Sus scrofa: one gene and its partners. The protein of the gene in region 1 interacts with the protein of each later gene in a pairwise test. Links are inferred from orthologs where the notes say so. Each region holds a gene or a part of one and is shown in the gene's direction. Other genes may lie near its edges.

The links.
Region 2: the proteins of PDLIM7 (region 1) and ZMYND11 interact in a two-hybrid assay, tested with the Homo sapiens proteins (2 studies listed by BioGRID). The link is inferred for Sus scrofa from reciprocal best matches to the Homo sapiens genes PDLIM7 and ZMYND11.
Region 3: the proteins of PDLIM7 (region 1) and GEM interact in binary tests that used the Homo sapiens proteins (3 or more experiments, as listed by UniProt). The two-hybrid records come from large-scale screens. The link is inferred for Sus scrofa from reciprocal best matches to the Homo sapiens genes PDLIM7 and GEM.

What each region holds. Positions count from the first base shown.
Region 1 is NC_010444.4:80,450,945-80,456,826, forward strand, and holds the start of PDLIM7 (PDZ and LIM domain protein 7), read left to right. Parts: upstream 1-2,068; 5' UTR 2,069-2,174; intron 2,175-3,139; 5' UTR 3,140-3,149; coding exon 3,150-3,245; exon of another isoform or gene 3,246-5,882. UniProt on the Homo sapiens protein: May function as a scaffold on which the coordinated assembly of proteins can occur. May play a role as an adapter that, via its PDZ domain, localizes LIM-binding proteins to actin filaments of both skeletal muscle and nonmuscle tissues.
Region 2 is NC_010452.4:69,158,846-69,164,208, reverse strand, and holds the end of ZMYND11 (zinc finger MYND domain-containing protein 11), read left to right. Parts: intron 1-2,457; coding exon 2,458-2,580; 3' UTR 2,581-4,753; downstream 4,754-5,363. UniProt on the Homo sapiens protein: Chromatin reader that specifically recognizes and binds histone H3.3 trimethylated at 'Lys-36' (H3.3K36me3) and regulates RNA polymerase II elongation. Does not bind other histone H3 subtypes (H3.1 or H3.2).
Region 3 is NC_010446.5:42,467,546-42,473,012, forward strand, and holds the end of GEM (GTP-binding protein GEM), read left to right. Parts: intron 1-770; coding exon 771-975; intron 976-3,037; coding exon 3,038-3,315; 3' UTR 3,316-4,396; downstream 4,397-5,467. UniProt on the Homo sapiens protein: Could be a regulatory protein, possibly participating in receptor-mediated signal transduction at the plasma membrane. Has guanine nucleotide-binding activity but undetectable intrinsic GTPase activity.

The sequences.
Region 1 (5,882 bases):
TAAAAAAAATTTATTTTCTTTTTCATGGGTGCAGCTGCAGCAAATGGAAATTCCTGGACCAGGGGTTGAATCAGAGCTGCAGCTGCTGCCTACACCAGAGTCCTGGCAACACCAGATGTGTGCTGCTTCTGTGACCTATGCCACAGCTTATGGCAATGCCAAATCCTTAACCCATTGAGCAAGGCCAAGGATCGAATCTGCATCCTCAGAGAGACAATGTTAGGTCCTTAACCCACTGTGCCACAACAGGAACTCTGAGAACCTATTTAGATATCTGGGAGAAAGTGTTTCAAGCGGAAGGAGCCACAAGTGCAAAGGCCCTAAAGCAGGAATGTATTTGCTGTATTTACAGTGAGGAGGGCAGAATGGCTGGAGCAGAGTGAGCCAGGAGAAGTGGGGGAGGTAGTTTATTAGTGTCTGAAAGACTTTAGTTTTATCTTAGGTGCAACTCCATCCCACTGAAATGCTAGAAGCCGAAGGTGTATGGTGTGATTTCTGCTTTAAAAATACCATTTTGAAGAAGACTGGGGACTGGGCAAGGGTAGAAAGAGGGAAATCTGTTAAGAGACTGCTGAGATGTCCAAGCACGAGACAAGTGGCAAGGACAAACACGGCAGCCAGGTGTGGAATAGAGTCAGAAGGTGGAATCTACAGAATCTGAGGTATGACACAGATGAGAAAGGAAGGAAAACTTCATGATTTTTACTGGCCTAACCAGATGAACACTGTTTTTATTTTTTTTCCTTGAAGTAAGGAAGGAGTTAGGGAGGTGGGGAAAATGAAAGTTTAAATTAGGAAGTAACTGGAATTCCTGTTGTGGCCTTGCTGTGGCTGTGGCATAGGCCGGCGGCTATAGCCTGGGAACTTCCATATGCCCCTGGGTGCAGCCCTATAATGAGAAAAGGCCAAAAAAAAAAAAAAAAAAAAAGTGAAAATTCTTACAGTTTATATTATGAGGGGAATGATGCAGAATAGGGGGAAATGTAATGATGATGGTGGAGGTAGGAGAGTAGCCACAGCCATGCCCTAGAAGGAGGTGAGGGGTGGATGCCCATCCTGATCCCTGGTCAATTTCCTCCCACTGCGCTAGCATTGGGGCTGTGGGGTCTGTGAAACCCCCACTGGAGGCGCTGCCCACTCTGGAGTGGGGTACCAGGACTATCTCGACAGTTTGGGGGTCAGCCCTAAACCTTCGGAGGGTCAGGGGGTAGGAGTGAGGGCAGGGCATAGGGTCGGGGCGGAGCCAAAGGCCTTTATACCTCTGTCTGCTGCCTTTGGTGGAGTGTTCTGCAAACTTAACTGTAAGCTCCCCCTGTGTCGACCTCAACTAACCCCACCTCCAAGGTTCACCCCCTCCCTCTTCCAGACCAAGTCTGTCCGATTTAGATATTCCTTTTGTGTGTGTGTCTTTGTGTGTCTTTTTGCCTTTTCTAGAGCCGCTCGCCGCAGGAGCGGCATTATGGAGATTCCCGGGCTAGGGGTCTAATCGGAGCCATAGCCACTGGTCAGAGTCACAGCAACGTGGGATCCAAGCCGCGTCTGCGACCTGCACCACAGCTCACGGCAACGCCGGATACTTAACCCGCTGAGCAAGGCCAGGGATCAAATTTGTTAACCACTGCGCCACGACGGGAACTCCCGATTTAGATATTCTTGAGCTATCAATGGCTGTGCCTTACGCCAAACTATGCCTATCTTCACGGTGGCCTGTGAGGCGAGTATTACTGTCCCACTTTCCCAGTAGGAAACTAGGGTTTAGAGATGACTCAGGTCCAGATCTGCCTGGTTTGCTTGGTGACTTGCTTTTCACTCGGCCAGAGGGAGGCGCAAGGGGCTGGGCGAGCCGCGGGTTGGGCTGTCCAGCAGCCCAGACCCCCCCACACCCTACCCAGGCCCCGCCCCATTAAGGGGACCAGGGAGAGCCTTGCCTTACAGCGCAAAGAGAGACCGGACTTCGTGATTGGGCGGTACGGAAGGATTCGGCGGGGCTTCCTACTGCCTGGGAGACTGCTCATGGGCTCAACTTTTGACGGAGGCGTGGCCACAGGCCACGCCCCCTCCAGCGGGCTCATAACTGATGTCTGCGGCGGGGGCGGGGCCAGAACGCGGGCGGCGGATCCCAGCGCGGCTCTCTGGAGCCCGCTGCTGAGCAGCGCCCCGGAGGGGCCGAGCAGGTACAGGCGACTGTGCGGGGCGTTTCGGGCTGGGCCAGGCGGGGGGGCAGAGGCCTGTTAGGGGCCACAGCGGGCACTAGGGGTCGTGGCCAAAGCTGCGCTTCCTCCGGCGTGCGGGAGCCGCTACCCCCGCCCCCGCCTTCCTGAGGCGAAGCCGGCTGCGGCGGGGCCGATTGGCGCCTGCGCCGCTTCCTGCCCCCGGGACTCGGCCAATGCATGGGGCCGGGGCGGGGAACCAGGGGGAAACCGAGTCACGTCAGGAGGGTAGGCCTGTGGGGGAGGCATCACCCCCACTGAACTCTAGGATGAATTCCCTTCCTGGCCACGCTTTGAAGTCCCAGTCCCCACCGACCTACGCAGGGGCCGCGCACCCGCCCAGTTCCCCCAGCGCTCAGGGGTCTCGCCCTGGGTCACGGCAGCTTCGACTAGTCCGGGAATGGCTAGTACCCGCTCCAGCCGCCTCCCCCCCTTCCCCTCCCCCTCGCGTCCCGAGCCCCCGTGTGTTCCCTCCGTTGGCTCTCCGCACAGTGTCAGCTTACACGCCTTATATAGTCCGAGCAGGCTCCAGCCGTGGCCTGCCTGCCGGGACCTGGGGGCGGGGGAAAGGAGGAACGCCGGCCCCGGACTGGCCTTGCCGTCTAGTTCCAGGCTCAAGGATGGCTTGGGGGGAAGCCAGAGCCAAATTAGCCCTGCGATCCACTCCTGGATGAAAAGAATCTCAAGGCTGGATTCGGGCTCCCCTCACCCACCCTGTCCCTTGGGGAAGGGGGGTTGCCGCTGCCTTTCCAAAGTGAAGTCTGCCAGCTAGCAGCCCAGCCAAACTTAACAAGTTACCCTCCTACCCTTGCCCTGGGTGTGCTCAGCGTCTGCTCGTGCCTTCCTGGCACTAGTCCAAGCCTGATGTCCAGAGCTAGGCCTGCCTGTGTACCCACCATGCCAGCTGCTCACCTTTTCTCTCCTCTCAGGAGCGGCACCATGGATTCCTTCAAGGTGGTGCTGGAGGGGCCAGCACCTTGGGGCTTCCGGCTGCAGGGGGGCAAGGACTTCAATGTGCCCCTCTCCATCTCCCGGGTGAGCCTAGATTGAGGGAGGGGCTCCCCCAGGGGTCTTGGGGTGCTCAGATCTCCAGTGGGTGACAGAAAGAGCCTGAACAGGAGTGAGCCACGGCCGGTAGGCCAGGAGGTGCCCAGGTCCAGATATGTGGGCACTGCCACGAAGACTACCAACCTAACTAGGGAGATACTAGGAGAGGAGCCCCCACACTTCCCTAGCACTGCACTGTACCTGATGCTGTTCCACGAAGCTCCTGTGGCCACCTCCAAGGCCCAGGGGGATGCCCATTCTGAGGTCTCCAGGAAGTGTCTAAGCTCCTTGAGAGAGCAATGCTTGGAGCTAGGCCCCAGGCAGGGCTCTCTGACTGCAGGATCTCACTTCATTCTCACTGCCACCCAGGGAATAGCAACTGTCATCCTGTTTTTCCAGATGAGCTAACTCAGGACTCGGAGAGGTGAAAGGGCTCCTTCAGCAACTCCGTGGCAAAACAGGGATTGGAATTCAGCCACAGGGATGGCCAGCAGTCTGTGTGTGTGAGGGGTGCCTCTCCCCGGCCTGTGTGAGGACCTTCCATCCCATCCACTGGTCCCATTCAGGATGGAGTGGGCTTTGACCCCAAGCAGGGGTTGGGATGGGTCTCTAGGACTCTGACTTCAGCTTCTGAGATCCTGTCCTGGTGGGGGTGGAGCTAGGGGCCGGCTCCTCCCTGTGGCAGGGGGATTGCCTTATAAGCCCAAGAATGCAGCCCCACGCAGGGATGGCCAACTGGTGGCTGGAGTCTGCAGGGCTGAAAAAGGCTGGTCTGGGCCTGGACCCCTGACCACATCAGTGGGCCCCTCAGCTCATCGCCCCCAGGCTGTGGCTCTAGCCATGGGATCGGCCGTGGGACATGTAAAACAAGCTGCCTGCCCTGAGAGAGAGTCCAGCCCTTGGGCTGGTATCTCTCACTGTGGTGGGGGGTGGAGGGTGGGTTCAGGAGGAGGTGGGGACTTCCTGCTCCCATATCCGCTTATCCAGAGAGACCCACCCAGGCTCCTGGTGGGCAGGCAGCTATTGGCAGGAAGCCCAGGGCAAGCACAGCCTAGAGGGGGCCGGAGGGTTGTCCAGCCGCAGCTGAGCTCAAGGGGGCCCCAAAGCAGAGTCTGTCGGAATTGGGCTTGGTGGCCAGAACAGCTAGGCTGTCACTGTTCTCAGGGATCCTACCCTGGGAGCTGCGCTGCCGGAAGGGTAGCTAAGGGCAGTGATCTCCCTACCACATATACCCACCCTGTACACAATTCTCGAGTCTCTCCAGCCCTGGAAACCTCCCCCTGTATACCCCTTCCCTGGGAAAGTGCTAGCCAGTGTGACTGGGTAGCTGTAGGCCTTGGCTTGGCCTCTGAGCCTCAGTTTCTTCCTTGGTGAGGATGGGCAACAAAGTAGCCTAGGGGATGGACTTTCAGATGTGGCCTGCTGGGGGCACCCTGAGCCCAGGCTCCCTTGTCAGCAGGCCTAGCATGTGGGTGGGGCCACCAGCTGAGCCCAGCCCTGGAGTTGGACCTAGGCCCTGGTGGGTGGGCGGGTGTGTAGGGTGGTCTTTTCTGAGCTGGGCCCGCCCTCTCTCCCTCTACCCTGACCCCAGCGTGGAGTGGGGAGGGAGGGGCTAGGGCTGGCTATGGGCCCGAGCCTGGGAGATGAGGTAACGTCTGGGATTTGGGGGTTGGGCTGCTCCGTGGAGCCCTCAGGCTGACTCACCCCCCACCTCCGTGCAGTGTCCAACCCCCTGGCTTTTCCCCTCCCCGGTCCCTTGGGCCTCCTTGCTTCTCTCTCCAGACACACCCGACCCCCCACCTCTCTTCTGCTTTTGTCTCTACCTCTCAGACTGCTCCCCTATCTCTCCTGTGCTTCTTGTCCTCCTCACTCCAGGGGAGGAGTAGTCCCCAGCTCCCCAGCCCCTCCCTGGGAGCCAGCTGCTTCTGCCCACCCCATACCCCCCACCTCAGGCTTAGCTCACACTTCCCAGGCCCCAATGTGGGGAGGGAGTGGCCAGACCTGGTTTCCCTTCTACTGACTCACCATGACCTTGAGTAAGTCACTTCCCCTCAAGGGTGTCACTTCCCCATGCCCATTGTAAGGGGTTGAATTGAACTGGAGGTAAGATAGGGGATCCAGACCCTAAACCCAGCCAGAGGGTCAGGGAGTCTTTCCAGCCTGAGTTGGGCTCCAGCCCTCAGCAGAGGTAGCCTGGTAGGGTCAGAGTCCTGGCGCTGCCTCTTGAGTTGCTAGCTGGGTGACTTGCAGCAAGTTACTTAACCTCTCTGTTTTCCCATGTGTGAAATAGCTATATTCCTAGACTCTACTCCACAGGGTTGTTGGAGGATTCAGGATGTGGCAGTACTAGGTACTCAATAAAGTAGGTAGGCTGCTCTTCTAACTATTTAGCTGGTGAGCAAAGGGTCCTCCAGTTGTCTGACTCTTCTAACCTCCCAAGCATGAACTAGAGCCATCAAGCCCAGCTCTCCCTTCTTACCCTAGTGCCATCAGTCTCTGCACTATGATCCCTGAGCCATCTCTCTAGAACCTCTTGCCTGCCTCAATGCAGTCTGAGCATCAGCCCACCTGAGGAACCTCCTGGGGCCACAGGCAGCCTGTACCCCTCAAACCTAAGGAGGTTAA
Region 2 (5,363 bases), on another chromosome or scaffold:
TTTTTTTTTTTTTTTTGAAAGTCTAACCTTTAAAGTCTGTTTTGTCTGAAATTAGTATAGCTAGCTTGCTCTTCTTTGGTTTCAATTTACATGAAATATCTTTTCCCCGTCTTTCACTTTCAATCGATTTGTGTCTTTACATCTTAACTGAGTCTCTTGCAGAGAGCATATACTTGGATCATGTGTTTTATCCATTCTGCTAATGTGTGTCTTTTGATTGGAGAGTTTGAAGTATGTACATTTAATTACTGATAGGGATGGACTTAACTATCATTGTGGTATTTGGTTTCTGTATGCCTCACAACTTGTTTGTCCCTCATTTCCTGCATTCTTGTCTTTTGTGTTTAGTTGATTTTTATAGTGGAAGTTTAAGTTCTTTTCTTTTCTTTATATTCTTTAGCAGTTTAGTAACAAAATCTCTGCTCCTGTCCCCACCCCTTTTGACTGCTGATGTCACAAAATTATATTGTGACACATTGTGTTCCCAGAAACATAAACATTCTTTTAATTGCACCAGTCTCTTAATTTATATAGAAGAAAGCTTTGGGGTTACAAACTAATTTACAGTATAGCTTTTACACTAATAACTTTCTTCTTAAATCATGTAGAAAACAAAAGTACGGTTGCAAGCCACTTTTGCTGTAATTCTGGCTTTTGATGAGTGCTCATGCATTTACTTTTATTAAGGGCTTCAGGTTACTGTCTCAGTCCTTCCATTTCACCTGCAGGATTCCCTGAGCATTTCTTGCAGGCAGGTCTAGTGGTTTTGAACTACCTCAGCTTTAGTTTTTCTGGGATTTTAAAAATGTCTTCCCCCTTTGAAGGATTATTTTGCTGAATATAGGCTTCTCCATTAAGAGGTTTGTTTGTGTTCCCCTTTATTTTTTTAGCACTTTGACAAAATCAGGTCTTCTGGCCTCCAGAGTTTCTGATGGGAAATCTGCTGATGATATATTGATGACATTTTGTATATGACAGTTCCCCTCTTCCTTGCTTTCATGATTCTCAAAAGTTTGATTATAACACATCTTAGTATGGCTTTCTTTGAGTTTATCTGACTGAGAGTTCATTGAGCTTCTTGAATATTTGTATTCATATCTTTCATCACATTGCAGGAATAATGGCTGAAAACTTCCCAAATATTCTCTCTGCTCTGCTCTTTCTCTCTCTCCTCCTTCTGGACTTCCCATGGTGCTCATCTTAGTCATTGGATGGTGTCCCACAGGTCTTTCTAGGCTCTGTTTATGTTTCCTCAGTCTTTCCCCCTGACTTGGTAATTCCATTGTCCTGTCTTCAGTCTGCTCAAATCTGCCTTTGCATCCCTCCAGTTAATTTTTCACTTTAGTTAATGGACTTTTCAGCTCCAAGTTTTCTTTTTGGTTTTTTGATCTCTTCAAATATTTCCATTTTGTTTACAGATTGTTTTCTTGACTCCCTCTACACCTTCCTTTAGTTCTTTGAGTTTCTTTAATAATTATTTTAAAGTCTTTGTCTGATATATCTGCCAGTAGGTCTCTTTCATGGACAGTTTCTATTGATTTTTTTTCTTTTGACTGGTCATACTTTCCTGCTTCTTTGTATACCTTATGATTTTTTGTTGAACACAGCATTTGAATCTAATATGGTAACTGGCACTCATTTTCTCCCCCTTTTCAGAGTTTGCTGTTTTTGTTTCTTTGATTGTTATAGGCTATTTCTGTGCCAGGGATCACCTTGAGTATAAACTAAATGTCTTCATTGGTCTTTTCTGAGCCTTTCCTTGGGAGTGCACATTCACTTTCTGCTTTTCCCCACATATGCAGTTGATTTTGAATATCCGGCTTTGCCAAAGGCAGACTCTAAGGGCAGTGGCCCTTTAACTCCTCCGGAAGTTACTTCAGCTGGAGGAGAAGGGGCTTGTAACAGTGAGGGGAGGTTCAGCAATGGTAGCAGCCCATTTCTGTGATCAGAAGCAGCAAGCAGCAGGACAGAATCTTTTTACCTACCCTGGGTAAGGGTAGGAGAGGGTAGCTGTGTTACTGTGCTCAAAATTAACTATATTGTTCAAACCTTCAATACACTTCAGAGTTCCAAAGCAGTTACTTTAGATGGATTTCTCAGCGTAGCTGTTGTCCAGGCAGGTAGGTAGATTCCTGGTGCTTCTGTTCTGTCATCTTTCCGGAATTTCAAGACCTTTTGTGTGCTGATGGGGATGACCTAGTAGAAATGGAAAAGGTCGATGTGGTGCCAGGTAAGCTCGGGTTTGCAGCCACGAGACTACATGCTGAGCCTCAGTCTTCCTGTTGGCTCCTGCCATCCTGCTCGGTACAGAAAACATTATGATGTTTCTGGTGATCCTAGTTTAAGGTTGAGCCGGAAAGATCTTTAAAAGCAATTTCAGATGTCTACAGTTATAACCACCATTTCCTTTGCACTTCATCCCACGTTTACCTACTGGTCATGGTTTCTCATCTGTAGTGCTACAACTGTGAGGAGGAGGCCATGTACCACTGCTGCTGGAACACATCCTACTGCTCAATCAAGTGTCAGCAGGAGCACTGGCACGCAGAACACAAGCGCACCTGTCGCCGGAAAAGATGAAGGCTAGTTCCTCCTGGTGAATCACTGACGATTATTCTTCTCAGACACAGCGGTTTTTGTTTCCAAGAAGCCAAAATTGTTTAGAATTTGCTTCCCATTTTGCACCAGCCTTTAAACACTTTTCGTGAAGAAATTTTGCACAGTAGTTTAAATCTTTTGTTAATGCTCCTCTGGAGTTTTTCAGGGGGTAAAAGTAACATCAGTGGAGGGTATTATTTTAAATAAATTTTAATTGAGAGTTTGTTGCATTTTCAGCAAATTTTAAAACATTTTTAGGTTTTACAGAGATTTTAACCTTTAAACAACAGATCTTTAAAAAAACAACAGGTGAATACAAGTGAGTTTAACAAAGAAACATTTAAAATAGATCTGAATGTAAGAACTGCAGAACTGCTTCAGAACTGAAACATACTACCTTGATGTGACGTTTATCTCTTAACCTTGTTGAGCTGGTTTTGTTCAGCTTAATTTACTGTTTAAAGGCATTATCTATTGGTTATGCCAGTGGGTATATGATTGAATTTAGGGAACAGGGTTGACACAGCAGGTGCTAGTCCTGCATATTTTTTCTTAAATATTTCCCAATTGTGTTTTTCATTATTTCTTTTCAATATATAACTTTTATAACAAATTATTAGCTTTGATCTTGTAGTTTAAAATTGCAGGGAACTGGGGTAATCTTTTACTGAGCTGGATCTTAGAGAAAATGAATATTTAAATTTTAAAGTTTGCACATTTCATCTTTGTCCTAACATGAGTGCTTGTAACAAAATAAACAACAAAAATAAAATAAAAAAGCCAAAAACTACCTTTATCCATACATGAAATTATAGATGAGGCCTACAAATTTCTTTAAGGCATCCCTTCCCTCCCCAGATATCATCTGATGGCCTGTTATCTGGTGTCACCTCTTATATTGTAAGTTAATACTGAAAGGAAAGAAAGCACTTAAGTTTCACAGAAGCCGTTATGTTTGTAGTAATGGATCATTGCCTACTAATGAACTCCATCACTGTACACAGAATGAAGAATAATGCATGTTAATTTTCTTGTATTAAAAATGCCGTGATTTGTAAAAAGTCTGTATTTTGCGGAATGTCTGGATTAAGAAGCATTACCAATAGGAATGGATCGATAGTTGAATAATGATTTTTTTTATACATAGATATATAAAATACAGCCAGGAAAACTTAAATTACTTTTTTTAAAAAAAAACTCACAATTTATGTTTTTTCAAATACTGATCTTAGACCAAGTCAAATTCCCATTTATCATTTAGTTATTTTTTAAGGTTAGAGAAATAATTTGTAAATATTTATTTAGACCTTTGATATTTATTAAAGCAATTACACACAATGGAAGTGAAAGAATCAGGGGAAAAACCTTTTAAAAAGTTTTCTCCAGGTTTGTCAGGGTCACTCTAAAGATGAAAATGTAACTAAGTCTTCTGTGAAATCGTCCTCCAGTTCTGAGGCTGTTGCAGGTGGTGGTGACACGAGTTAATCGACAAGCTGCTGCCCAGTGGTGCCCAAAGGCTTGTAGGACCTGCCTGGTAGCCCCCTTTCAAACACCATCCCTGAACTGTGCAGGGAGCTGGCATTCTCGTCCCTCCTTGCTGCCATGCGATTAGTCGGTGTTGCCACAGTGCTGTGGTCGGATCAAGACGTTGTAACCAGGAACACTTACTTTCTCTGATTGTTTTTCAAGTTTTAAAACTTCGATCCACCCCTATGAGAACAAGTTATTGTGGAACTATTTTTGGTGTAAAATCATTCCAGAGTGTGTACTATTTACCAATAGCTGCATGAAAGTAAGATTCGTGTTACTTTGGCTTTTTGTCTCCGTTGACACGGTTGCACATTTCCAAGTTACTACAGCGTGAAAACTGTGTGTTAAAAAAAAAAAAAAAACAAATTAAAAAAAGATTGTGGCCTGGTTTTGTAAAAGTTTTAGGTAAAATTACAATTGATTGTTTTAGGAACTATTATTAAATTTTTCTGCAAATCATAAAACTATATCAAGGTGTTGAGCTTAGCCACTCTGCACATTGTAATTATTCATTGTGGCTGTCCAGTTCTATGATGCATTCTGGCATTTTGTAAGCTGCTCTGACTAGCAATATATAGATTCATTTAATGTGTTAACATTGGTTAATAAATGTATTTAAAAAAAACTGGCTTTAATACATTGATTGAGTCCATTCTCCAGACCAAAACAAACACAATTGTATCACATGGTGATCATATACTGTGGGCTCGCCACTCACTGGTGACTATTTATATAAAATCAGTGTGTGAAAAATAAACATTTATTTAAGTTGAATTTACTTTTACCAGGTCTCAAAAAATTCAGGTTTGTTTGACTACAAAGCCCTTCCTTAACCCTTATGCTAGGCCAAACATACAGATTGAATGATTTTCTATGAACATTTGAAAAATCAGGCCATATCCTCCATTTCAGTACATGTAGAATCGAATCCCTCATCTCACCCTGTGTCATTCCACCTCTCCAACCAACTCACATGATGCCAGTCTCCATTCAGGCCAGCGTCACCCTCCTGGCCAGACCATGAGGCAGCAAGCGACTTGACCCTCTTCACCTTCGCCTCCGGCTCATCAGGCTCACAAGAGAGCTTGTTAAAACATTGCTGGGTCCCACCCCCAGCGTGTTCATTGCTTACAAGTTCCCCAGTGTTGCTGATGGGGCCATCCTTCCATAACCACTGCTTTACTGATGAAAATAAAAACAACAGACACTTTCATGAAAAATACGCACGCACAAAG
Region 3 (5,467 bases), on another chromosome or scaffold:
CTGTAAGTTCCTTCAAGGCTTGCCTTCCACCAGGCGGTTTGGTGCAAGGGTGACATTGTCCTTTGTGGGCAGTTCCAGATGAGTTGAACTCATTTTCTTGATTAAAAGCATTGACTTCTAAAGAATGAAACTGTTCTAAGGAACAAGTTGTTCATAAATGAGCTTTGAATACCAAGCAAGTTGCAGTGATTTGCCCTTCTATTCAGAAATACCAAAAAGTCAATTTGTTGTAGGGAAAGTGCCAATAAGTATGGATGATCATTTTAAACTGTGTAAAACCGTATTATACGACCTTGATACTCTCCATCCTAGTTTTCAGCATGTGCTTTGTAGAGATCTGGGGCTTTTGAGCATATACGTTAGATTTTCTGTTTATCGAGAACCTTCTGATGCTGATGAAGGAATTCTTGATTTCATCGGTTGGAAGAGGCGAAAGAGTTTTTTGAAAGCCAGGAAAGGCTCATTTGGGGTAGTTTAAATAAAGTTGGAAATACTGTTTGGCAGAGTCATTGTATAATTTATCAACTCAAGCTGTGAAAGGAGTCAGAAAGTAAAACTTCTTGGCATCCGTACCCCATGAGCCAGCAGTCTTTGTAGCCACAGACATCTTGTAGGCATGGAAGACCAATGCCTTTTGGGGAGTCGGAATGAATTTTCTTTCTTTCTCATATCAGCAAGGATACTTTAGGATACACGCATGGTTTCTTTCAAACGGACACCTCATTTACCAGCTCATCTGAACTCAATGGGAGTTCTTCTCATTTCATTAGGGGGAGAACGAGTGGCTCCAAGACCACTGCATGCAAGTCGGGGATGCCTACCTGATTGTCTACTCCATCACGGACCGCGCCAGCTTCGAGAAGGCGTCTGAGCTGCGAATCCAGCTCCGCAGGGCCCGGCAGACAGAGGACATTCCTATAATCTTGGTTGGCAACAAAAGTGACCTGGTACGGTGCCGGGAAGTGTCTGTATCAGGTGAGAGGAGTGGTGCCAGTTACCACAGACACTATCTCTGGGTCTTGGGTATTTTCCTTTAAACAGTTGCTCTTCCCTTCCTCTTACACAAAGCTGGAACCAGGGACTCTTAAGATGCCACGTGGAGTTTTACGCACACTCGAAGACACCCACATTCCCAATAGATCATCTGGTCTACCTGCAGGATTTCAGTCTCTCCATCCCCAAGCTTTCCCTGGAATTCTTTTAGAGAAGAGGTCATACTCGGGTTTACTGGCAGTTCCCAGCCCTTTTTTCTCATCCTCTCTATTCTCCAGGGACATCTCTCAAGAGTCCCAGGAAGTGAAAGTAGCACCTTCATGCAAGAAGGATGGGAACTTTGATTTCAAGAAACTATTGAGATTAAGAATTCTACTCTGGCTGCCTCTGATTCCTGTAGACCCTAGAAACACCCTTCCAGCCCCTACCCTTTGCTTCCTGAATAACCTTAACCTTAACTTTCCAGTTAAGGTGCCAGTCCAATGGCATCACATATACTTTGTCGTATTTAGTTCAGGCATGATTCCTATTTGTTGAGTTGGCACCCAGTGCCTTTGGGGCCCTTAAAATCTTAATTTTTTTTTTTGTCTTTTCGTCTTTTCTGGGGCCACACTCACTGCACATGGAGGTTCCCAGGCTAGGAGTCGAATCAGAGCTGTAGCCGCCGGCCTACACCAGAGCCACAGCAACGTGAGATTGAGTAGAGTCTGGAACCTACACCACAGCTCACGGCAACGCTGTATCCTTAACCCACTGAGCGGAGCCAGGGATCAAACCCGCAACCTCGTCGTGGTTCCTAGTCAGATTCGTTAACCACTGAGCCATGACAGGAACTCCCTAGGGGCTCTTAAAATTTTATTGGCCTAATTCAAATTTGGTACAAGGGTGAAAAAACAAAATACTGCATTGCCAGGCTCCGCCCAGGAGAAAAGAATGCTGTTAAAGACTAAACAGACCCAGCCAGCTTGGGAATGTCTTACTCTTAGGAAATGACTGTCTGCAGGAGTCATTTTTTCCAAAACCAAACTTGGACACCTGGTCATTGAACACAATGGAGCATTTGAAATTGAGACTGTTTCAGAAAAGCTTTTTTTTGTATCATTCGCCATAATTACACTGTACATGTGTGAAGATCCTCAAAATTTTTCAAAATAACTCATGAAAGCTTAAATAGTTTTTTTTTTAAGTAGGATTCTTTTTGTTTCTTTATTCATTTTTTAAACTTCTATTGAAGTAGAGTTGATTTACAATACTGTGATCATTTCTGCTGTACAGCAAAGTGACTCAGTTATATGTGTACACACATCCTTATTTTCAATTCAGAAAACTGAGTCAAGAGAAAGTTCTCTTAACTTGAGAGTGAAGCGGGTCTGGACTCAGATCCTCCACTTACAGGTTATATGAACTCCCTCAAGTTTTTAAAGGACCCCCCCCCCCCATCATCTACTGGAAAGGGATAATGTGTTTTTAAAGATAGTTGGGAATGTCTAAAAAATGTTTATACAAGATCCTTCTGTATAGCACAGGGAACTATATTCAATATCCTCTGATAAACCATAATGTATATATTCTTTTTCATATTCGTTTCCATATGTATATATAGGTATGAATCACTTTGCTCTACGGCAGAAATCAACACATTGTAAATCAACTACATTTCAGTAACGCTACAAAAAAATGTTTATGAAGTATTTAACCCAGTTCCTGGCACATAGTAAGCGCAATAAATTAAGGCTATGGCTTTTAGTATTGGATGGAATTTGACAATATTTGATGTAATTGGACCTTCACACAGGGTTTGGCAGGCCAGATCTAAAGCCCATCTCTCCTGCTTCTGGCAATCTTCCTGTGAGATTCTGCTGTTTAAGCTCCAGGAGGACACGGGTCCCAGGGGCCTCCGTATCCATTGCATGTGTGATGGACTTAGCATTACCTTGAGGACCATTTAAAAAGAGGATTCATCCAGCTTGGCTGTGTGTGTGTGGGGGGGGATGCTATTCTGCAGCCCCTCTGACTTTCTCCTCCCCACCCCACCCCCAACCAGAAGGCAGAGCGTGTGCTGTGGTGTTCGACTGCAAGTTCATTGAGACCTCAGCGGCTGTCCAGCACAACGTCAAGGAGCTGTTTGAGGGCATCGTGCGGCAGGTCCGACTCCGGCGGGACAGCAAGGAGAAAAACGAGCGGCGACTGGCCTATCAGAAGAGGAGGGAGAGCATCCCCAGGAAAGCCAGACGCTTCTGGGGCAAGATCGTGGCCAAAAACAACAAGAACATGGCCTTCAAGCTCAAGTCCAAATCCTGCCATGACCTCTCTGTGCTCTAGGTACCCAGAGTCACCCAGATGTCCCCCGATGGACGTCACTGAAGGCCATTGGGACCCATAATCTATATTAGATTGGATTCTTAAGTAGTGTAAGATGTGGCTTCCCCTGTTGTAGCTGGGAACTAACATGTTCGCTGGTGGGCAACATTAATGCATGGGAAATGAAAGATCTTTGTAAAGAGTCAGTATTTATTTACATGAAAAGCCTGACCTTTGCTACATGGACACCCGAGACTCGAGAGAGCGTGGTTGGTGTTCACATGTGTTTCCTCTCTCCTTTGGTTTGTAGAGGATGAGTGCCTAGGCAAGAACTTTTTCTTATTAAGATGTTGCCCGGTGTTCTGATATGTGACTCTGAGGCCAATCAGTGGGTCATAGATATAGGAAGGCTGTCAAAGGAATTTTTCAAAGGAGGGAGAACTTCTTTCTCTGTACCTTGTATTCGTGGAGCTAGGATTGCCCGACGGGGCTCATCACAATCATGACTATGATGCTCCATGAAGCTGTGAAAAGAAATGATGGACTTGCTGGAAACTAAAGCTTAGCAAACAGTTTTTTGTTCAATGCCCACAGTGGGGGATCCAGAAATTTGTAGAATTGGGAACTGATACCTGTACCACTAATGGGTTCAAAAATTCTCTCTTTACGACTGTGTCTTATAATTTTTTATTTAGGGGAAAATTATTTTAGCCAAATTCTATTGCATCAAACCACCTTTTGTGTTTCATTATTTTTCAAATCATAAGGGCATCATAAAAATATTTTTAAAATCTGAATTATTGAGAACCTGGAGCGCACAATGCAAAGTTTTTGAATATAATCGAAGGTCTGAATTTTTATAAAACATGAGACATAATACTTCCAATACTTTGGGTTGACCCTTGTATACCACAGCTTTGCTCTATTTATTATTATTTTGCAAAATAACAACCATTTTAACATTTGATAAAGCATATTTATGAACATATTTCTTAATGAGAAAAATGCTCATTTTATTACCATTTTCTATCTTTTTCAGAATATGCAAGTTTTTATCTATATGTCTTCTAATAAAAGAAATAAAATATTTGAAAAAAAGGCATTTCTAAATGTTTTTTCCTTCCCTACAAGGTGATTATGAATATTTTGCTATAGCTTCTAGAGAAAGCACATTATAAAGAAACACACTTATTGTATTTCTTCACTTCACTGGTGGAAGCCCAGTTATTATCTGGTGGGTTTTTTTTTTTTTTTTTCGCTCTTTATGGCTGCACCCGCAGCATGTGGAGGTTCCCAGGCTAGGGGTCAAATCAGAGCTGTAGCTGCCAGCCTAAACCACAGCTGTAGCAACGCCAGATCTGAGCTGTGTCTGCCAACTTCATCACAGCTCATGGCAATGCCGGATCCTTAACCCACTGAGTGAGGCCAGGGATTGAACCCGCAACCTCATGGTTCCTGGTCAGATTCATTTCCACTGCGCCATGATGGGAATGCCAGTGATTGTCTGTTTTAAAGAGTATCCCTGACATCTCTCTTTTGGAATGCAATTCGCAATAATGCAAAGTGATTTTTGGCTGATATAATTTGGAAGTATTTGGGATCCTGTAAATGCTATGTTACAGTAAAAGTGAGTTTGACTTTCATTTTGGTCTTGCAAATACCTGGCTCAGCAGATGGGCCTTGCTTTGCTCCCCAGAGGCTCTTGGTCCTAAGTACTAGAGGAAATTATAAAGGATTAGGGGTGGGGGGAAAGGAAACAGGTGATTTTCAGCCTGAGATCTAGCCAGGCAAGGCCTTAACTGCATTCTGTCCCTGACATAATTCAGCTGGACATTAATCACGTGGCTGCCATCCAATGGTCACATGTCATCTTTCTGCTGGAGTGAGACTTCGTGGTGCTCCTCATTCACCTCTCTGACCCCCACACGCACCCTCTTTCACTCTCGCTGCTAACGGTGACAGTCATGGGACCTTGCATGGTGTCCGGAGCGTCACAGTTTTACAGGATGTCTCTGCTCAGTGTTATTGGCCCTTTCTCCTGCCTTTTCCAAGTTGAGAGCAAAGGTTCCTGTCTCTGCACTTTGCATCTTTGAATTGCTCAAGGAAACAGTACAGGGAAGTGATCAGAGTATAAAGATTCAGGTAGCCCAGGCCCAGGCTGAATCTTGGCTGA